Diceros bicornis minor: one gene and its partner. The protein of the gene in region 1 purifies or fractionates together with the protein of each later gene. This does not show direct contact. Links are inferred from orthologs where the notes say so. Each region holds a gene or a part of one and is shown in the gene's direction. Other genes may lie near its edges. The genes, in order: TCEAL1 and KDM3A.

What was found.
Region 2: the proteins of TCEAL1 (region 1) and KDM3A purify together in Homo sapiens (affinity purification with mass spectrometry; 3 studies listed by BioGRID and IntAct, counting the BioPlex papers as one, with this or other methods). This does not show direct contact. The link is inferred for Diceros bicornis minor from reciprocal best matches to the Homo sapiens genes TCEAL1 and KDM3A.

Annotation. Positions count from the first base shown.
Region 1 is NC_080781.1:96,663,292-96,675,173, forward strand, and holds TCEAL1 (transcription elongation factor A protein-like 1), read left to right. Parts: upstream 1-6,045; 5' UTR 6,046-6,222; intron 6,223-6,667; 5' UTR 6,668-6,732; intron 6,733-7,087; 5' UTR 7,088-7,099; coding exon 7,100-7,579; 3' UTR 7,580-8,206; downstream 8,207-11,882.
Region 2 is NC_080751.1:3,629,919-3,641,583, reverse strand, and holds the start of KDM3A (lysine-specific demethylase 3A), read left to right. Parts: upstream 1-6,631; 5' UTR 6,632-6,703; exon of another isoform or gene 6,704-6,801; intron 6,802-6,937; exon of another isoform or gene 6,938-6,961; intron 6,962-7,298; 5' UTR 7,299-7,328; coding exon 7,329-7,514; intron 7,515-11,665. UniProt on the Homo sapiens protein: Histone demethylase that specifically demethylates 'Lys-9' of histone H3, thereby playing a central role in histone code.

The DNA of each region.
Region 1 (11,882 bases):
AAAAGGACAGGAAAGGAGATATGCCACGTGTGTCTGCCATTCTTGCTGCACCATTTGCATATTGCATTCCCCATGCCCCATGAGCACAAAATTCCAGTGGACCCTTGATGCATGGGAGTTCAGCAAGACTCAAAGCAAGTAAATGGTAAGCATATTACTTCTGTGACTGAAGACAGCCAGGAGAGGCCACCCATTTGGTTCTATTCAGAACTTACTTCCAACACAGAATCACATTCTAAGAAACACAAGGGACAAAGAAACCCAATCATATCCTTTCTTACATGTGTTACTTCCTTGTGTTTGCCAACCACTTGTGTTGAAAATGATGACAAAGAAGGAAAGGGAAAGATAGAGCAACGCACAGTTCCCGTTCCTTTCAGTCCCTCTGTAAAATGGGCACATTTGCAAGTATCAAGAAGTCAAATACAAACAGCTGAGTTGGTTTTGTGTAGCATTTCCACTGTTCTGGTAAGAAGTAAACACATATGCACGTATGAGCTACAAAATATGAATTGTGCAATTTTGGTGATTCTGCATATGAGTCAAATGCTCTTGTATTTGCATTTAAAATGGCATTGTACAATATAAAGATGAACTATATAATTATGCTAATAATTTAAAATTTTAATTTTCCTCTACTTAGAACAAAATTAAATAACAAATAAAAAGCACCATGTCAAAGTCAACATCAATGGTCATAAATCATATTGATAACACGTAGCCTTGATATGATGTGTTGAAATGGCACTTTACCTCTGTGCTATTCCTCCCAAAAACCCATAACCCCAGGCTAACCAAGAGAAAAATACCAAACAAATCCCAATAGATGGGCATTCTACAAATACCTAACTAGTACTCAGAATTGTAAAGGTCATCAAAATCAGAGAAAGTCTGAGAAACTGTCACAGCCAAGAGGACCCTAAGGAGACATGACAACTAAAAGTAATGTGGTATTCTAGATGGGATCCAGGAGTAGAAAAAGGGCATTAGGTAAAGACAAAAGAAATTGGAATAAAATATAGACTTTAGTTAATGACAATGTATCAATATTGGTTCACTAATTATAACAAATACACCATACTAATGTAAGATGCTACTAGGTATGGAGTACATGAGAATTCTCTATAGTATCTTCTCAATTTCTCTAAACTAAATCTAAAACTGTTCTAAAAAATAAAGTCTATTAAAAAAAATAAGTTGAAAGACCACAGGAGAAAGAAAAGCTTTATATTTTAGTACTTTTAATGGCACTTTTTTTCTTGCTTTGTGAACAAGGGGCCTTGCATTGTCATTTTACACTGGGTCCTGCAAATTATGTAGCCTACCCTGCCTCTGTTCCAACCTCTGTCACCCAGACCTCAGACTGGGGTTGTTGTGGGCCCTTGTGAGAGTCCCTGAGGCCAAGAGTAAGGCTGTGAGTGTTGCAGCCCAGCAGGGAAGACCAGCACAGGTTCTGTGCTCTGGGCTCCTCTGGATTCCGGAAAAAGCAGCAGCAGCCACTGTCAGGAGAGGTCCCCACTCAGGCCAAACGGTGTTCCTCAGAGAAGCCCCTGTGAGCTGGGCAGCGTGGAGTCATAGCACCCTAGAGTTGGAGGGGACCTCATTCATTGCTCTTCCACTGCCCCTCCCCCCACCTTTTAGGGAGAAGAAGAAGGACACAAACAGAGGCAAGGAGAGGGGTAGAAGGCTCCCAGGCCTCCAGAGCCCTCCAGCGAGTGAGTGACAGCCTGAGTCCTGCCTAGCCCAGAGCCTGGGACTCTCTCCCTCTGGGCCAATGTTGGACCTGCCTTTCCTGTCCCTGAGTGTTTCCTAGCAGCCTGAGTTTCTACTCTACCTTTCCTCAGAGCCCCTTCCTTGTTTCTCTGGGCATGTACAGGATGTGTGTGTGTGTGTGTGTGTGTGTGTGTGTGTGTGTGTGTGTCTAGACCCAGTTAGTGTGAGGCCAGAAGCAGCAAAGAGAAGGCTCTTATCATTGCATTTCCCACTTGGCTATTTCCCCTGGGGTGGGGGCGGGGGAGCGGGAGAGGAGAGCCTGAGAGCCACAGGCTGGACAGGGCCTGCTGCAGCGCACAGCAGCAAGTCTTGAGACCAAAGTACTGCCATAGGTGTCATTAGGAAAGAATGCAGAGGCTGCAGAAGCAGCAGGGGAACCTCTGGGCTGGAGAGGGCAGACAGGCTCTGCAAAATGAAACCAGACCTCTATGGGGTCTGTGCTGTAGAGGGGCTCACAGGGAGGGGGCTCTGTTCTGCCACAGAAGTGCAGCCTCACGAGGGAACAGGAATCTCTGAACCAGAAACCCATCCTGGGCTTCCTCAGATCCCCCAGAGAAAGGCCTCGCCCCTGGAGGCTGTTGTCATAGCAGCAGCTGCCAGGGGCTGACTGCCTTCCCCCTTGCCCGCCTGGCTGCCCTGCCTGCCTTCTGATACTTTCAGCTCCCGCTACCTGAAAAGGCCTGTGCCGCACACCCCGGCTGCGTGTAAAGGTGTCTGGAGCCCACTGCCCAGGAGCAGTTTAACAAAGTGGTTTAAGGTTCAATCATTCATGTCCTACTGCCAGGGTTTAAATCCCATCTGGGCTACTTACTATCATCTGTTTCCATGGCAATAATTTGTCACCTCTCAGAGCCTTAGTTATCGCACCTTTAAAATGGAGTTCCTTAGGGCCGGCCCCGTGGCTTAGCGGTTAAGTGCGCGCACCGCTACTGGCGGCCCGGGTTCGGATCCTGGGCGCGCACCCACGCACCGCTTCTCCGGCCATGCTGAGGCCGCGTCCCGCATACAGCAACTAGAAGGATGTACAACTATGAATACAGCTGTCTACTGGGACTTTGGGGGAAAAAAAGGAGGAGGATTGGCAACAGATGTTAGCTCAGAGCCGGTCTTCCTCAGCAAAAAGAGGAGGATTAGCACAGATGTTAGCTCAGGGCTGATCTTCCTCACACGCACACACACACACACAAAAATGGAGTTCCTTAGACTTAAACTCTCACTAGCACTAGTGAGCCAAGCACCATTTAGGTCTTCACAGGACCCTAAATCAGCAGTATCAAATCATATCTATCAGAATTATTTCACGGCCCCCACCCAGAGCACACAGAGACAAATAGCAGACCACATTCCTTTGTAACATGGTGGTCACCATGGCAGAACCACCTTCACCTTATTCCTTCTTGAGAGCCCTTTCTTTCAAGGGAACCCCAAATCAAGGCAGAGACTTAGAGCCAATATGAAGACACAGTCTTCATTCCTCCTTTCCCGGTTCTAATCCTTAAATCTCCCTTGTCTGCCCCCCCAGTTTACCAAGTTCTCATCAAGGGTTAATTCATACTGGTTTGGCAGCTTTCAGGGGCAACTGTGTCTTCTATCAGCAGCACTAGAAAGTAATCCCACCCTCAGAAGTCCTACTGAGAGTGGAAAGGAGGAGAACTGGCCTGACAGGGCACACTCCCGGCTGGCACACCCAACAGGGAAAAGGAATTTTTTCATTTGGAGTCAGAGCTCTTTGCTGAGATCTCCTTTAGATCTTTCCTGAGTTTGCTGAATTTATTATCGTATTTAGTACTAATGGCGTGCTTTAAATTAATATTTTGTAGCTCATGTCCTGAATGACAGAATGAGGATTCAAAGAATGAGGGAATGAATCGAACAGGACAACATTTAATCCAGAAAAACAGAAGCTTCTGTACTTGTTTAAAATTAAAAAGATTTACACAAGTGCATTAACAGGGATGTATGAAAGAGATCTGGGGGTCTCAGTTGACTTCAACTTAAAGTGTGATATGGCATCCACAAAATCTAGTATGATCTTAGGATGCATCTATAGATGTATAGTGGCTATTCTAGAATGAGGGCTGTGATAAGATCACTCCATTCTACACTAGGCAGAATATTCAGTATTTTCAGAGACATTTACAAATTCAGAAGCATGTAGGATGGTGAGTGACTTTGAAAAAATATATCACCTCAGAAAGAGCTGAAATAACTGGGGAGATTAAACCTAAAAAAAAGTCTTGGTGAGAACATAATTGTTTAAGGATTAAATGAGATAGCATATTGAAAGTGCTTAGTGCAATGCCTGGCATAAGTACTCAATTAATGTTAATAACAAAAGAATGATAATTAGTAGTACTATTAGCACTAAGTCATTCTATTATTATTATTACTATTACTATAATTATAGTTAATGCTTATAGAGTGCTTTCTATGTGCTAGGCACTATTCCAGGTCCTTTACATATACTGACTTATTTATCCCTCTTACCAATCCTATGAGGGAGGTATTACTATATCTCCAATTTTGCAGATGAGGAAGTTGAGTCACAGAAAGGTCAAGTAGATTTCCCAGTGTGTCTCACAGATGGGAAGGGGAAAGAACCAGAACATTAACTCTGGCAGTGTCAGGCTATCAAGGGTAAAAGGCACTTTTGTTATAAAATACTTGTTTTGTACGACTCCAGAGGGCAGAACCAGGACCAATGTGTGTGAACTACTTGGAGGCAGATTTCAGCTCAACAAAAGAAAAAAACACTCTGAATGATTAGAACTGTCTGAAATTTCAATGAGATGTCTTTTAAGGTAGTGAGTTCTTCATCCCAGGATGTAAGGGAAAAAAGGATAGAAATGAATGAAATGGGGCTCCTCCTGGAAAGAAACCACACAAATGATGAAGCTAACCATCGGTGAAAAGGATAAAGAAGGTATAGTGAAACTTGGTTTAAAAGACACATCACTGAAAAATTGAAAAGTAAAACAGTTGTGGAAACGATATAAAAGTGAACTAATATCTGTCTTGCTGCTATCTCAACACAAAGTAAATTAGACGGAGAGAAGCGACACAAAGCTCTTAAAACAGGAAATTTCACACATGAATTTCTGTTTGGAAACTTACTAGACAGCTCGGGTTTGAAAAAAACAATCCCAGGATCCTCACAGATCTGATGGCCACCTACCCTGAAAGTGTAAACTACAGAGAGGTATAGTCTGATTTCTGGAGGAAAGGGCATCTACATGAGGAAGTAGCACCCAAGCTGATGCGAGTAGGTGAGAGGCATGCATGAGGCTGAAGATCATAAAACACCATTAGATCCAAAAATATATACTTGTAATGACAATTGAGTATGTGAGCATGATTTTAATCCTGCTACTCAGTGTGTGATTAACAGAATTATTGCATAGTTTAATAGGAATGTCCTCTGTGGTGAATCTATCTTTTTGCGTCCAGCAGTCCCAGGACCCAAATATTTGCTGATTTAATGAACTAATATAAACTTTCTCAACCAGCAACACCAGAGGTGGCTGGTTAAGGATTTAGAGTTCCAGCAAAATCTCTTTCTTCTATTACCAATAATAACTACTGAATATATGTATATACATACATATACACACACATAATAGTATGTATGTATATATGTGTATATATATACATAAATATATAATAATGCCACACTCTCCACTAAATATGCTCCCATTTCAGGTAAGTTTTCAGACTATTTGTACTTAGATGGACAAATGTGTATTTTGATTTATGAAAATCAAAGTGTTCAATCTTTTTAGATTTATATACTTTACAAACAACTTTTTCTAGAGTTCTAGAATTGAATGATTACCAACTTAGAATGGAGCTTCTATTCGTAATATAGGTCTGAAGGCTCAAAAAAAAAATAAAATCCTGAAGTCATGGAAAAGTGAAAGCTTATCTTTCATCAAAGTGACAAGAGATGAAAACCATGTTGATCGAGCCTAAGTGGACATGATGGAGTTATGAATGTGGATTAAAACTGGGAGAGGTGGTATATGATATTGATTCATTAATGAGAAATAGTCGAATTTCAGTGGAGGATCTGGACTGTAGAGGAAATAATGGGCCTTAGTGGCTGATGACAGGAGAATAAGGGAGAGGGTATCAGGCAAAGCGGCAGAGAGGAAGAGGCAATAAACCCCAAGACTAGACGCTGATCGTCTCTGGTAACCAGGAAAAGGCAAATATAAACAAAGAGAGGTGAGTGACGGTGCTTGGTGTGTTGGGGGTCAGGAAATACTGTCAGGTTGCTGCAGCACGGCCGCCGGTCAAAGCGGTAACTGGGGATCTGAGCTCGGCGGTGACGCGCGGCCCTCACGTGACCAGGAGCCTGTGTCTGCCCAAGTCTCTCTCGTCCTGGTCCTTTTTGCCTGTCCAGACAGCGTCTGCCTATTGCCCTTTGGTCGAGGGGAAAAGCACAACGAAGTAAGTCCCCTTGGTCCTCTTAAATCGGTGTGAGTGTCGGTGCCGCCCCGTAAACCCTGGAATCGGGATGGCAGCGTCCAGGCCTTTCCCTATGCCCAGCCCCGCCCCCCGCGCCCACAGTTCGGTGCAAAAAATGGTGGTTTAGAGGTGGGGTAGGGAGGTGAGTGAGCCCCCCCTCCCCGGGAGGGAGACACAGACACTTAGAAATAGTTTCTAAGCCATCTTTCGCTTCCACTTCCCGCCTGAAAAGAAATGACGAGCATTGCGGGGTGGAGGGGTAGGGGCACGGAGGACCAAGCTTGAGATGGGGCATCGGGGGGAGGGGAACTAGAAAGGGGCTGGCGTGGGGGCGGCGGCTGGTGCCCAGAAAAAGGGCGTGTGTGTCAGTCAGTCTTTCCCTCTTCTCCACTCCCCGCCCCCTACCCTGTCTTGCGTCTGTCTGCAGGTCTGCAGGTCGCAGCGGGGCACCTCGAGAGGACGCCTGGGAACAAACGGCCAGGAGAGGTCCAGGTCGGGGAAGGGGTGGGCAGTGGGCTAGGATGGAGTGAGAGGGAGGACGCTGATGGGCGCGGAGTCCGCGGCACCACCGCCCCGCCCCTGCCACTGCGGGAGAGGCCTGTGGCAAGGCTTGCTGGGAAAATGGTGGGCTTTCGGAAAGGAGGGGGCGACAAGGGCGGGGGGACGAGACGCGGCGGGGTCCCCAGGGCCAGAAAGCCTCTCAGCAAGCGTAGGTTGGAGGACCTGGGCCCCGAATCTGGAAAAGGCAGGTTATTGGAACCCATGGCCCGGGTTTTGGTCCAGCCATCAAGTATTCTGACTCGACTCTGCCTTTCTTGTCTCCTATGAATAACTGTGCTTAAAAAAGACGATTCTCAACATGGAAAAATCCTGCAAAGAGAATGAAGAACAGCCACAGAGCGCGCCCAAGGCAGATGAGGAGCGGCCTCCTGTGGAGCACTCTCCTGAAAAGCACTCCCCGGAGGAACCCTCTTCGGAGGAGCAATCCTCGGAGGAGGAGTTTTTTCCCGAGGAACTCCTTCCTGAGCTCCTTCCTGAGATGCTCGTGTCCGAGGAGCGCCCTCCGCAGGAGGGCCTGTCTAGGAAGGACCTTTTTGAGGAGCGCCCTCCCATGGAGCAGCCTCCTTGTGGAGTGGGAAAACATAAGCTAGAAGAAGGAAGCTTTAAAGAAAGGCTGGCTCGCTCTCGCCCGCAATTTAGAGGAGACATACATGGCAGAAATTTAAGCAACGAGGAGATGATAAAGGTAGCAGAGGAGATGGAAGAGATGAAAAGAGTACGCAACAAATTGATGATCATGCACTGGAAGGCAAGACGGAACCGTCCTTATCCCATTTAATGTGTTCAGCGTTTAATTCTGTTTTGCCTGATATAAGTATTGCCACCTGAACTTTGCATTTTTCTCATATACCTTTCCCCATCTTCTTAATTTTAACTTTTTATGTGGCTTTATTTTAGGTGTTTCGCTTGTAACTGGCATAAAATTGGGTTGCCCCCCCCAATGTGCAAGTCCCTCTCTTTCAGTCCTGAGTCTCACCCATTTGCATGAAAAGATGTACATTATATATTGTGAAGTGAAAAAAAGCAATTTTCAAGAAGTATATGTAGTATCCCAGTTTTGTAAAAAAAATGTATATTTATATATTAATATGCAAAGAAAAAACTGAAAGTATATACTTCAAAGGCTTAACAGTGACTGTGTGGTAAGATAATAGGTGATTTTTTTGGTTTTCCATTTTTGCTTTATAGGAATTTCTCATTTTTTCAACACGAACACATTTTACTTGTGTTGCAAAAAAATCCCAATATAATGAAAAATTGTAAAACAATTTAAAAAACTGTCAATCAGCTTATAAAGACAATGTGGCACTTAATAAATACTTGTCAGAACTTAAAAAAAGAAAAGTAAATCCCATGTTTCTTCTGAATCTCTTATGCCGAAATATAAACCAGGTACTTATATTTGTTTAAAGGTCATTCTTTTCCCGTTTACATAGGAATAATACTTGGCTTACAAGGCTGCTGTGGAACCAAATGAGGTAAAGATTGCATGAGCTGTGTGTTTCTTTCCCCCACCCGCACATGCAGGACCCCAGCCCCTATAGATTCCCTTCAAATACACAGAGTAGTACCCAAAGGAGATCTCACTTGTGCTCACAAATAATTCCTGTGAGATTCCAGGTGAGTGCCACATTCTATTTCTGTCCTCCTATTCTCTTCCCTTGGATACAATCATGTCTGCTGGGCACAGCTGTTCCTTCTCCTGGGTTCTGCTCCTTCCGTGGTCCAAAGTGCCAGCGCAAAGCCTCACTGATTGCTCTGGAGTCCCTGCCGGGCCAAAGCTGAACTGTGTCTCCTACTGATATATGGAGAATGCACCTTCTCCAGCTTTAATATTAACACTTCTCCAGGTGGATGCCATCCCAGTGTTCCTTAAACCTCCATGTCTTAAAGAATTCTTAGCAAAATAGTCCTTCCCATTTTTTTTTTCTGAAAGCTTCCCTTTTCTCCACTGGAATCAAACATAAGTTCACTGGGTCCTGGGCTAGAAGAGAAATTGGTGAGCCAGACACAATGCTGTGTACTCAGAATTGGAATCTCCCTCCCAAATAATCTCCAAGGGTTTTTGTTGTCTAACACTTGCCGTAGGATGAGTTCCCTCCCAGGGGCCTCTGGCAGGCTTGCCTTACCAGTTCAGCTGATTTGCTCAATTTGTATAAATTAAAGAGGAAAGTAAGACTTAGGCTCAAGCTAGGACATTTCCCTTCTGCCCCACCCCACATCAACAAGAAACATGCAAAAATACTTCGTAAGACATTAAAGTACTTAAAGTCATTAAAGTATATGTATATGCATATACATATATATGTGTGTATGTGTATCAGATGTTATGATTTCTCTTTCTCTATCCTTATAAAACCTAAGATTTTGTTTTATTGATCCTGTTTATTGATTTTTTTATTGATCTGGTTAATTCTAGAAACACAAATAGTTGTTAACAATTTTTTAAAATTATGACCCAGTCATAAACCCTGAGTTTCTGTTTGATTGGCTATGTAAACTTCAGTAAGTGTGTTCACTTCTCTAGAAAGTATGATTTGCAATTCCAAAAGGATCACAGTCAGGGGAGGGATTGTTTCTCCAAATTCAACATTAAAATTATTTAAATATTTTATATATCAATGTTTCTCTTATCAAATATGCAGAGACCTGGGTGCTACCCCAGACCTACTAAATCTGCTTTTCTGTAAATTAGGACACAAGTTAGACAGCCACTGCTATATACAATGTACTCTTGGTTTTATTTTATTTATTTATTTATTTATTTATTTTTGTGAGGAAGATCAGCCCTGAGCTAACATCCATGCTAATCCTCCTCTTTTTGCTGAGGAAGACTGGCCCTGGGCTAACATCTATTGCCAATCCTCCTCCTTTTTTTTTTTTTTTTTCCCCCAAAGCCCCAGTAGATAGTTGTATGTCATAGTTGCACATCCTTCTAGTTGCTGTATGTGGGACGTGGCCTCAGCGTGGTGGGAGAAGCGGTGCGTTGGTGCACGCCCGGGATCCGAACCCGGGCCACCAGTAGCGGAGCATGCACACTTAACCGCTAAGCCATGGGGCCGGCCCAACTCTTGGTTTTAGTAAGAATAAACTGTGACATAAATAGAAGAAAATATAGATGAGTGTATCAGAATTAAAAGGGTGAAAGCCTTTTCCAAGCATATGTTTTGTGTGTGAGTGAGGAAGATTAGCAATGAGCTAACATTTGTTGCCAATCCTCCTCTTTTTGTTGAGGAAGATTAGCCCTGGGCTAGCATCCGCGCCATCTTCCTCTACTTTATATGTGGGACGCCTGCCACAGCATGGCTTGATAAACAGTGCGTAGGTCCATGCCCGGGGTTCTGAACCTGCAAAACCCAGGCTGCTGAAGCGGAGCGGGCGATCTTAACGACTATGACACCAGACCGCCTCCCCAAGCATATTTTTAAGTAAGAAATTAAAAACAAACTCTTCAATTTTACTACATAAAATTTAGATTTTTTGCAACAAGGCAAGACCATACACAGAATAAAAGGCTAAGAGAGATGACAAAATAGCAAGAAGTATTTTCCATGATTAACGTTATGTAATGCCTGGCATTGCTTCCTTCCAATATGATTAAAAGGCATCGGAAATAAATTCAAAGTTCTCCTTTAGTAATCAGCTCACAAAATTGTAAGCCAACTCTATGCCCTTGACTTTGTTTTTGTTTTAATTTTTTCACTATATGATGCCATCTGGGGGGATCCTCACATCTCCAGACCAGTCTTCAAGGTTATGGCAGCCTGATGGATGCTGGTCAGGCTGGATTCCAGCTGGAGTGAGATGAGGGACCAGGGGCTCACTGTGGCAGTTTTACAAGGCAGGATGAATCCAGCCCCCTGGCGCTCTGAGGGGTGGCACTGGGGCAGGATGTGGAAGGGCTCACCCAAGCCACACTCCTCTCCAGGGTGGTCTGACTTTGGTTTCTCTGCTCCAGCCTGCAGCAGGCACAAGACCCTCCTACGCTGATGGTCGGGCTGTCCTGACAGGCTTACCTGGAGGACGACGACTGTCTCCATCACAGGTCAGAGCACTTTGCCTTTCCCTCCTTTTCCCTTTCGCATTTGGGGAATCTTTTGTAAGGGAGGAGATAAAGCCCCAAGGATTCCTAACTGGAAACATTGGTTGGGATAGTCTTTGAGCAAGCAGATATCTGACCTGGGTCTGACCAGGTAAATGGGGCTGAAGCAGAAGGGGCTAGCCCTTCTCTCAGAGTCCAGTGAGGTAGGCACACAAAATGGGGTTAAACCTCAGACAAGACCTTACCTTCCCTCTCCCACCCACCTTTCTCAGACTCCCAGAAGGACCTCGGATGTGCCACAACCTGTTTGGGTGGTTTTGCGGTGACTTTAGCTCTGTGTGTACGTGGTGCAGTGCTTCTGCTGTCTGTGTCAGCCCAGGCCCAGAGACACAGGAGACCCCAGGGAAAGGGTGCTTGCAAAGGCATGTGGTCCTACACTCAGGAGAAAAGGGGTTTCACCTCCTGTGTGAACATCCCTATGCACTGCAGGCCCAATCCACGACTTGGGGGCCAGGAAAGTCAAGCTGTGAATTGATGTGAAGATGCTTTTGAAGGCATTGATGGTGGAGGGTCAGCAGGATCCAGAGCCTGGTTCTCTGGGCCCCTCACCACCTCCCTGCCAGGCAGAAGGCTGGTATCTCAATCACATGTCCAAGAAGTGACTCGTCTGGCCAACTCCAGAGCAGAATGCATTGAGGTTCCAGGACCTTGGAGAGAGAGCCCTCTGCTGATCAGGATGCCCTGGCTCTGAGGAGACAGAGCATGAGAATGGGAGGCCTTGTGCTGAGGCAGCGCAGAGGGATCAGGTTCAAGGTCCTTGCAAAATGCCCAGAGACTCCTCTTTCTCTCATTCAGAAATACTAATCTAAAGTCAATTACTTTTACAAATGAAGAATAAGATTATACAAATAAATAAGAGGTAGATCTTGTGTTCTAATTCAGATTTGTCTGAATCAAATTCTATATTCTCCCCACTCTACCACACTGCCTCCAATTTAGATTGTAGCTTTCCAGGACTTAGGGGGCTTAGGGAATAATT
Region 2 (11,665 bases), on another chromosome or scaffold:
CTAAAGGATACTTTACATACAGGGGAACAATGATAAGAATAATGTCTGCCTTCTCATCAGGAATAATAGATACCAAAAGATAATGTATTGGTATCTTTAAAGGTAAAAGGAAAAAAATCCATGGCAATATAGAATCCATATCTAGCAAAAATATCCTTCAAAAATGAAGGTGAAATTAAGACTTTTTCAACAGACAAAAGCTGAAAGATTTATCTCCAGCAGATCCATGCTGTAAGATGTACTAAAAGAAGTTCATCAGTATAAAAGAAGTGCTGAACTCTACATGAAAGCTGCAAAAATTAATGGTTTAGATATATTTATAATAAACTGAATTAAACTTTTTCTATAAAAAGAAAAATTAAGATCACTTATTTGAAAACAAAGATGAAGTTTCACCTCTCAATTTGCTTTCTCATTAGTTTCTTCCAAAGTAAGGTCTTAAAGCTATGATTGGCATTTTTCTCCTAATGAATCCTCTCAGGACATTGTGTAGCCTGTGTCAGTACACAGGGAGAGGAAGACATATTTAAGAGCTTTACTATCAGTATAATCATTCCTAGTTGAATGTTGTTCTCTTCTTGTTCCATTAAGTCAAAATACAAATCAGCATTGATATTCAGTTTCAAATATTTTAAAATGTAATGTTACTTATGAATAGTATTTTTCATACAGTTGTGTATGTATTGTGTATATGCCTCAAGTTAAATTGATGGCTTTGATGTATGCTCAAAAGCAAAGTGAATAATACAAAAATTAATAATCCTTAGTTATAACCATAACGAGATAAGTCCTGACATTGGTGCTAAGTGCCATTTTGTATTTTTCCCCTTATGTTCTCTGTATTGTATAACTCTCTCCCCAAATCATTGAGCTGTTCTTAAAAATGAAAAAGAAAAACAGCTTGATGTTGTATACACATTTTCTTTTTCTTGATCAAATTGCCCACATGGAAACATGTAATGCAACTGAGTGGAATATATATCCAAGTCTTGGCTTAGTGTTATCAATGGGCAGAATTGCACAATGAACATTATCAGATTATTCCTTTTATTGGTCCTTATGCCATCTAAATTACTGAATAAATTGTTAATCCATTTTAAAAAGTTCATTACACTGAAGGGAAATTATATTGGATAGGAATATGGCTTTGCAGGAAGGAATGAAGAATAGCAGAAAGAGTTTAAATGTTGAAAAATATAAAGGCAGAGCAAATAAAACAGAAATCAAAGACTAAGATAGTAGACTTAAACATATTCATAATTATATTATTCATAATAGCCAAGGACTGAAAATAGTTCAGGCATCCATTAATGGAGCATGGATATACAAACTATGGCATATTCAGACAATGAAATACTACCTAGCAATGAAAGGGAATAAACATCTTACAGATGTAATCACATGGATGAATCTCGAAAACATGCTCAGTAAAGGAAGCTAGACACAAGAGAAGTACATACTGTATTACGTCATTTAAATAAAATTCAAGAACAGGCAAAACCAATTTATGGTGATAGAAATCACCATAAAAGGTTACTCTGGGCAGGGGTAACTACTAGAAAAAAGCACTTAAGAACATTTAGGGGTGATGGAATGTTCTCTATCAGGGTTTGACAAACCTTTTCTGTAAGGGGAGGGAGAGTAAATATTTTAGCCCTCAAGGGTCCCACAGTCTCTTCAACTACTCAACTTTACCATTGTAGTGTGAAATTAGCCCTAGATAAAACATAAACAAATGGGTGTGGCTGTGTTCTAATTTTATTTATAGACACTGAAATTTGAATTTTGTATAATTTTTATGGTCACAAAGTATTATTATTATTCTAGAGGTTTTTTTTTAACATTAAAAAATGTAGGGGCTGGCCCGCTGGCAGAGCAGTTAAGTTCACGCGTTCTGCTTTAGCAGCCCTGGGTTTGCCCATTAGGATCCTGGGCATGGACCTACTCACCACTCATCAAACCATGCTGAGGCAGTGTCCCACGCTGAAAAACTCGAAGCACCTACAACTAGGATATACAACTATGTACTGGGGCTTTAGGGAGAAAAAAGAAAAGAGAAAGACTGGCAACAGATGTTAGCGCAGGGCCAACCTTCCTCAAAAAAAAAAAAAAAAAAAGATGCTGCTTGCAGAGTGGCATCCACTCCTCTAAAAAAAAAAAAAAAAAGTAAAAACCATTCTTCACAGGCTGTAGAAAATTAGCCAGTGGGCCAGATTTGGCCTGTGGGCCGTAGTTGGCTGACCCTTCTTCTATATCTTGATAGGGTTGCGGGTTATATGGATGTATGCCTTTGTAAAGCTCATGAAACTGTTCATGTAAGATCTGTGCATTTCTCTGGATGTAAATTATTCCTCAACAGAAAAAGTCTTAAAAAAAAAAACAGGCAAGAAGCTTAGCACTGATGCTCTGCTTGCCTCATTAATTGTCACAGGTGCACTGCATTAACAGAAATAGCACAAGACATTTAAATTTTCACACATAACACCATTCTTGTGTTGTTTAATGAAAGCAGTTTTAGACAGAAAATATTGTATTCTAATTATTTTGCAGTTGAGGAATCAAGATCCAAACAGATTCCAAATTTCTAGTTGCTAACTTTCTTAAACGTTTTTGGGAACTTCTGTTGTTCCTTGAGGGGGACAACTCAAGTCAACTCAGCTAGTTAGTGGCAGGATTTTGACTGGAATGTGTATGCTGGGGCTTACGTAATAGTTTTTACTAACGAGAGGTGATTTCTGGCAAAACCTCCAAGCTAAAATATATTGGTTGGAAGTGTTGATATATTGCTGCTCAGTCCTTCAATTGCCTTGACCTCAATGTCTCCTTTGGCCTCTCTGAATGGTCCTCCAAGTTGAAATTCTCTCCTGCCTTGTTTCCAGGATGCAATCCTCCTAGTTCTCCTCCTGCTTCTAAGACCTTTCTTGGTCTTTTCAGTGTCCTTTGACAGTTCCTGCACGAATGCTCTCCTCACCCTCCTCGAGCACTGACATCCCATGCCAAACCACGCTCCTGCATGAACACTCTCCTCACCCTCCTCAGGCTCAGATACACTGTGCCAGGCTTTTCCCCCACGTGAGCAGTCTCTTCCTCCTGTCTGGACTTGAACATACCACACTAGGCTGCCTCCATTCACAGATGCCATCCTCATCTCACAGGGGATCTAGATATCCCATGCTGGGTTGGCTTTCTGTGTCAACAGAAGGCCACTTGGTCTTTAACTCCCCATGCAAGGCCACTACTCCTTACTTTTTTGAGCTCAAAAATTCCATGCCAGGCAGCCTCTGCTTATGAAAACCTACCTTGCTCTGCGCTCCTAATGGCTTTAGGACTAAAATGTTCTGGAAGAGGAAAGGAAAGAGGAGGAAGGAAAAGGGAAGGAATCTTAAAATATTTTACTAGATTTTTATATTTAGCTCTTTGATCCACCTGGAACCTATTTTTGTGAATATTGATGTAGGGATTTGACTTTGTTATTTTTTCTTAATGGATAACCAATAGACCACAAAGCATATATTGAATAGTTTATTATCTACACTCATTTGAAATGGTGCATTAATCATAAACTAATTTTTCATATATACGTGGGTCTGTTTCTGAATTCTCTTAACTTTTTACATATTTCTATTTTGATTCTTTCATTCATTGAAACTTTAGGTTAATTTGAGGAGAAATGACATCTTTACTTTATCAAGTTGTATAAGGAGATGGAATTTTTCGAATCTTCTTTTATGCATGTCAGTAAAGCCTTATAGTTTTCTTCAAATAGGTTTTGTTTATTTCGTGTTATGTTTTTTCTTAGATATTCTGTAGTTTTCATGATCATAATGGTTTCTTTTTTTATATGTTCTAATTGATGCTTGTTACAGAATAGGAATTCTTTTGAGTTTTGTTTGTTGATCTTTTACTGCACCAACTTCTTGACTCTTGTATTAGTTCTAATAAGTTGTCATTAATGCTCTTGAGTGTTAATGTAGTAGATTCCACTTACAGGATTTTAAAACTAACTTTAAATTTCAAAAGTTACATATGAATACATTTGCCTTATAAAAATGAGAGAATTACAAATAATACTAAATCCCCTTTGACCAATTCCCCCAGTTCTAGTGAGCACCCCAAACACCACTAACCATCATTACAAGTTTTAATATATATATTTCATAGAACATATACAGCATTACTTTTGCATGTGTATTTTTTGTGTGTGTGTGTGAGGAAGATTGGCCCTGAGTTAACATCTGCCAATCCTCCTCTTTTTGCTGCGGACGACTGGCCCTGGGCTAACCTCCATACCCGTCTTCTTCCACTTGATATGGGACACTGCCACAGCATGGCTCAACAAGCGGTGTGTCAGTGCGCGCCCGGGATCTGAACCTGCAAACCCCAGGCCACCACAGCAGAGCACACGCACTCAACCGCTTGTGCCACCGGGCGGCCCCTGTGTGTGTATTTTTAAATAGTACCAAATGCCGCTTTCTTTTTCATTCAAAATATTTTGCTCAATAAACATCGCGATTAATTCAACTATTCAATATTCAAACATTCAAACTATTCTATACTGCTGGATTTAATTTGTTGGTATTTTATATAAGAATTTTACATCTATATTCACACATGTGATTGAACTATAGTTGTCCTTTCTTGTATTTTCCTGGTTCATATTTGATAACAGGGTTTTTCAAGTTTTATAAAATGCATCAGATCTCTTTCCCATCTTTCTTAAGTTCTGGAACCATTAATATAACATACAAATTAAATATTCTTTAAAGTTTGGTAGAACTTGTCCCTCATGGTTGTCTTTCAAAATAATAGTTAATTATGTAATCTAAGTTCTCCATACCCTCACTTATTTTAAAAATCTATCTGAGGTGCCTATTTCTGAGATAGATGTATTTGTATCTTCTACTCTGACTACAAACTGTCAAAATTTTTTGTAGTTCTTATAGTTTAGTCTTAGCTTAGGCTAGGCTATGTATCCAGAGTCCTAATAGTTCAAGAGTCTATATTATCTTTATGGACTTTATCCTTTATTATTATAAAATCCTTTTCTCTTTTGATGCTTTTGCTTTCAATTATGTTAATTTTGCTATATTGCATTCCTTCAATTACCATTTGATTAGTAAATCTTTTAACCCAATATTTTCAAGCTTCCTGTGTTGCTGTTGGAGTTCACTTGTGGTTAATTTATAGCCAGATTTTGTTTTTAATCCAATGTGTCTTTTCAATTTATGAGTAAAATTAACCCATTTATATTTATTGTAAATACTCATGTTTGGACTTACTCTTCTTATTTTAATTTTTCTATTTACCATACTTCTGTCTAGTTTTTCTTGTTCCTATTTCTGACTTTTGTTTGATTGGAGAGGTTCTCTTTGTTCCATTTCCCCCCTTTTTAATCGTCTGCAAATTATAAATTCAATTTAATTCTTTAGTATTTATTCTTAAAAATTTATTTAATATCACATATTCAAAACATATATTTTTAAAATCAACACCTGGAGTTAACTTGCATCTATAATCCCTTGAATAGTTTCTAAACTTTTTCTGATGCTGTTTTCACACTTGTAAAATTGGGAGCATAAATTCTTCTATCATTATCTTAAAGATTAAATGTGATGCCATGTCAACCACAAGCCTTTATAAAGTAAGAGGTCTTCAATTCCTTCATTCCATTTCTTCTTCATTCAACCAAGAAACTTCACCTCCCAAGCAATCACCTCTTATCTCCTTTGTCCTTCAAAGTTACCTCCTCTTTCATATTTCTTGCATCCTTATGGCCTTCCTCTAATCTTTCAATTTCTTTGTGTCTCAGAATATCTTCTCATCCTCCCTTTACATTAAAAAAAATCCCATTCTGCATTGTACTGTGCGGCCTCTTTTGCTCTAGATTTAATGAACGTCATTTCCCAAAGACCCCATGCCTTTCTTCATTTTTCCTTCAAAATGGCGGACTTCAGACGTTCCATGACCAACACCACGTGCGCCTGCGCCTCCCGCGGCCATTTCACCCAGCAGCCCAAGCTCCAGCCTCTGCTCCGCGAGGCGCCTGCGCACGAGCCTCCAGAGCACTGTCGCTCCTCCCTCTAGCTGAGTACGCTCGAAACCGCACGTTCCCGTCCCTTCCCTCCCCCACCGACTCTGCGCCGCTCTCACCCCTTTCCTGTGAGATTCTTCCGCCAAGTGGAAGGCCCATCTTCGGTCGACAGCCTACGCACTTGAAGAGCAATCCAATAGGCACTTCCAGCCCTGGGGTTCGCCATTCAGTCTTATCTGTGCACCACTGCAATTTTCCTCTGGGGCCTAAAGTTGATAACCAATTTCGCGGGACTTTTTTGCATACCGTGAGGCAACAAACGGAAAGAATGGCTGTGGCGGAGGGATATCTCGCTTACGCTCTGTGTACTTTAACCTAATGGGGGTCGTCCGGGAGTCGGAAGGGGGAGGGGAAAGGGAGGAGGCAGCCAAGGAATTGTTTTTTTCTCTCGCCCCGCCCTCGCCAGGCAGGCCAATGGCGATGGGCTATTTCGCCACGAGCCTCGCCCAGCTCTTCGGAATCAGCCAATGAGCGGCGGAAGCGGCTCCGAGGGGGCGGGCCCGGGAGGCTGTGCGTGTCTTGTGAGAGCTCTTGAACCAAGTCAGAGCTAGAGTCGGCTGGGCGGCTGAAAACGGCGGCCGCCGCGGGTGACTCAGGGAGGCGGGAGGCGGGGTAAGAGCGCCGCGGCCTCGGCTGAGGGGAGAGGAGGAAGAAAGGTGAAGGCGCCGAACCCGCGGCCCCGGCGCCCCCGCGTCGCGGCGCAGGCCAGGGCGAGGGGCGCCCGGGGGTCGGCAGCCGGGAAGCGGGGTGTCGGGGCGCGGCGGCGGGGCAAGTGCGGAACCGCGGGCTCGCCCCTCCCGTGGGGCCGCCCGGGGCGGGGACCCGGCCGCCTGGGACGGGCCCTCCACATCGGGCCTTTTCTTTTCCGGGGTGAGGGGCGAACACTTTAAAATCCACTGAAGCCTCAGTAATTCTCCCCTCACTCCTTCTGCGATTAGGTTTAAGGTGTTGGAAAAGCGAAACTTGGGAGAGCGAGGGTCACGCGGCGCTTGGGCCCGTGTTTGCGGTGGGGGAGGGATCGGGGGGCGGGGAGGGCGCGGGTGGAGAGCTCGGGTGCGGGGTCCTCCCTCGCACCGGCTGCCGCTTGGGGGTCTCGTCCTCGGAGCAAGGTTAGGACCCCTCCCTCCGCCCCCGCCTCCCCTGTCCTCCCTTCCCGGCCCCCTCCCACCGGCCGCCACGGTTGCATTTTGTTTTTGTGTTTTTGCAGGGAGGAGCCCTTCCTGCAGGCGTGGAAACCATGGTGCTCACGCTCGGAGAAAGTTGGCCAGTATTGGTGGGCAAGCGATTCCTCAGTCTGTCCGCATCCGACGGCAGCGACGGCGGCCACGACAGCTGGGACGTGGAGCGCGTCGCCGAGTGGCCCTGGCTCTCCGGGACCATCCGAGCCGTCTCCCACCCCGACGTTACCAAGAAGGATCTGAAGGTAAGACTGGCTCCCGGGCCTCGGCGGTCGGACGTCTGGTAGTTACCTTGGTAACGAGACAGCCAGCACCCCCCTCCCCTTTTCTGAAAAGGGCAACCAGAAAGTTGGCATCTGATCTGAAGGTGCAGAGAACTAGACCTTGAAAGTCTTTGAAATGGTTGTGTAGAACCGAGGTGTGCTTGGCCTGGAGTTGCCTGTGTTTGATAATGGGCTTAGAGTTGTTCAGACACGCTTCGTTATTGCCCGCGATGTGCCCTACTAGGGCTGTATGATTATTTCTCCGAAGGAGTATTGTTAACATGAAGTTGGACAAGTGGGTGACGTTTGGAATCATTAAGAATTGAGGACTAGCACTTGGAAGGGCTTTCAGTTGGTTTTTTTGTGTGTTCCTTTTGATTTCTGCACCCAACTTCTTAAACTTTCAGGCTTGTTAGAAATGAAGTGTGAGTGTAGAGGGAGGAGCTTAGCTCTGTTCGGCATATTAGGGTGGGTATTTGTCCGTATATGGTAGGTCGGGGCAGGAGTGGGTTCCTGGTTGTCTATGATGAGTCTATGGGTGGGTGTGGGATATGACCATATATGGAGGGATGGGGCGGAGGGAAGGGGCGAAGCTGCCCCTTATATGGTGTGTTGGAGGAATGGCTTCGAAATATTCTACTTGGGTGTTTGGGGGGAGGGAGAGAAATGGGAACAAGTGCGGCCAGTGATTTTTAATCAGAATGACACTCAGAACCTTTTTCAGTTAGATCTTTTCAAAAAGAGATGAATTCTTATTGTATTCCCTAATAGAAGTATTGGTGTGAAAGGATTGTGTGAGAACAACCAGTGAGGAAGCCATTGTACCAACAAAGACTCCTTTGTGCAAAAATAACTGAATAAAGGTCCCTAACAAAGACTTTGAAGGGATGATAACTTGAAGAAAGCTTGTCAGAATAGAAGAGATTTCCACTCTGGGTAATAGACGCGTTTCAGTGTCTTCACTTGGCCATTGTCTTTGCTTTTTCTTGAAAACTGTGCTCAAATAAGGGAAACAAGTTTTAGCGTTGGCAGTTGAATATGTGTTGATTTCTGAAACACTGTTCATTTGAATACTTTCAGGGTGACGATGCATGCCCAAACCAGTATTAGTTTGCAAAACGTTGTGGGGAAAGGATGTATGGTTATATATTTGTAAAGCTTCCAGTGTGCCTTGTCTTCATGTTGAAAAGGAGTGACTATTGAGCACTTAACCACATGCCAGGCATGCTGAGCACTTCACAGCCATGATCTTATTTAATTCTCACAGCAGTTCTTTGGGAGTAGGTACTAATGTTGCCCCATTTTATAGTCAGAAATACTGTGGCTGGGGGAGGTTAAGTATCTTTCCTAAGATCACATATCTGGGAATTGGCATAGTCTGTGTTCTAACCCAGGCAGTTTTGACTCCTGAGCCCACCCTCTTAACCATCATGCTCCCTGATCAAGGGCTGTGCCACAAAAGGACTCTTGTCATACACTGTGAGGTTTGGTTTTTCTCCTCTGTTTCACTCCTCCTAGCGAAAACTGGGTTTTGATGTTTATAGAAAGTAGTGTGGTGCAGAGATGGCCAACCTATTTCCTTTAGGCTAATAACTTTTCTCCATAAAATGGGATTTGTGTAGTAGATTTCAGTCATAGTTGTTGTGGTTTATTTCACCTGCCAACTAAAATTTTCTCTATTGTATTTGTTTTTTATCTGATTTGAATGGAAACAAGATTTGATTTAAGCTTTACAGTCTTTAGTTCTTTGGCAGATGATGAGAGACTAGATGTTCCCTTACCCAGCAGTAATTGAGGACCTCTTGAGTTGGGAAGGCAATCTAGGAGGTCATTCATGTGTATTTTTAATCTCCACATCTCCCCCACCCCCAACCTTTGGGGTGGTGGTATCTGTCTTTTCTGAATGAAGAAATAGACTTAGGAAAAGAAGTCTTGTCCAGACTTGCAGAATTACCTACTGATGAAAGGAGGATTTGAATCTAGGTTTGGCTATGTGTCTTTCCCACTGCACTAAGGTGCCTAACTTGGAGACAATGGGGAATTTTAATTCAAGAACAGTTTTGACTGTATTGGATTTTTGCTTTACCTGCGGACGTCACAATTCAGCCCTCATGTCAGGTGCAAATCTACTCAGTTTCTTTTTTCTAATCATGATTTATTGCTGCATTCCTTAGTTGAGTAGCAAAAGGAGGAATTGGCTTAAGTTTAGGGGCATGTTGTGTTAGCAAAAACATAGAATTTTAAAACACCAGAAACAAATTGTGCTTGGTGAGATGCAGATGGGAACTAAGACCACAGTCGTACACCTGGGCTTAGGGGTATTGAGGTTTTGGGGGTGGGGTGGGACTGGTAGCTGAGATGAATATGAATGAATAAAATTCAAGTAGTGTGCAGCTGTTTTAGTATTAGTAGAAGTACAAGTCTGTCTAGACTGATTTGCTTAGTTAGTTGAGGATGATGTTAATGAGGCCAAGGCTTAACTTTGTTTCACGTAGAGAAAGACTTTGTAACAAAGTCAGTTACTCAGATACAGTATGTCTAGTAGTTGATTACAAAGAAGTTAGGGTGAAGACATAATAATGATTAAATGCTTATTATGTGGCAAATATTTTCTTTAATCCTCACAAATATCCTAGATGATAAACCACATTTTTTAGTGTTAGAAATTGAGGCTTAAAGAAGTTAAATAACTTGCCCAAGTTTGTCTCTAGACCTTAAACACTAGGCTTTAACATTCAGGTAGAGTGAGGTTAGAACACTATATTTTGCTGGACTCTGTATCTCCAGCACCCAGAACACTGTTTGGCATGTAGTGCTTGCTAAAATATTTGAATGAATAAATGAAGGAATCATAAAATTATTACCTCTACACTGAAAAGCAGTTTAGAAATAATCTACCAATGGAGCAGTGGTATTCTCTTTAACTGGAATAACAACAGATCTTAATTAGGTGTGGTTATAACGACCTCTTTAACCTTATTTTTATCCTACTCTTTAAACTTGAGTGTGAGGCAAGTTGCTTCCTAACTAGCTTTGTTTGTGATGCCTGCTGGGAATGCCTTCCTTCCCCAACTTGGCTGTCGGGATCTTTCCCTTCTTTTGAACCTACCTTTTCCTTGAGTCTTCTGCCCCTTCTTAGTCCCTAGGGATGTCCTTAGCAGAAGAGTAGTACTTGCCACCTATATGTTCCATTTCCTGCTATTAAAGCCTTTTCTGGTAGTTAGGTTCCTTTACCAATGCCTAGCCTTTCATCCTTGCATACAGTTGGAACTTTGGTGAGTTGGAATGTTAGTGAATTCTGCTGCCAGTCAAACTATGTAAAATGAGAAACTCCTAGCACAATGTAATAAAAACTATTTACTCCCTATAATTGAATGGTAGACTCTGGGATTTTAGACAGCATTTTATTTAGATGTAAGAAGACATAAGTAGAAGCATAATGAATTAATTTCCTCATTTGTGGAGTAGTGAAATAAGTGGTATTCTTTGTTATAGTGCTGGGCATAGAATAGATATGTCGTTAAAAACTTCTTGACTGGAGGTTGGCCAGGTGGCGTAGTGGGTAAGTTTGCGCACTCTGCTTTGGCGGCCCAGGGTTCGCTGTTCGGATCCCCGGGTGCGGACCTACATGTTGCTTATCAAGCCATGCTGTGTGGCTTCCCATATACAAAATAGAGGAAGATGTGCACAGATGTTAGGTCAGGTACAATTTTCCTCAAGCAAGAAGAGGAAGATTGGCAACAGATGTTGGCTGGGGGCCAATCCTCCTCAACAAAAAGGGGGAAAAAAAAAACGAACTACTTGACTAAGCACCATGCTATCTGTAAGTGTTTACTTGTAAACTTAGAAACACTTTACTTGGCATTTCTGATGGTTTTCATAATCATTTACGCAGGTGAGATTAGTGTGTGCTAAGAGTGAGTAGGAGGAGGCCAGCCTGGTGGCCCAAGCGGTTAAGTGCACGCACTCCACTGCAGCTGACCTGGGGGTTCGCTGGTTCGGATCCCGGGCACGCACTGATGCACCGCTTGGCAAGCCATGCTGTGGCGGCATCCCATATAAAGTGGAGGAAGATGGGCACGGATGTTAGCCCAGGGCCAGTCTTCCTCAGCAAAAAAAAAACAGGAGGATTG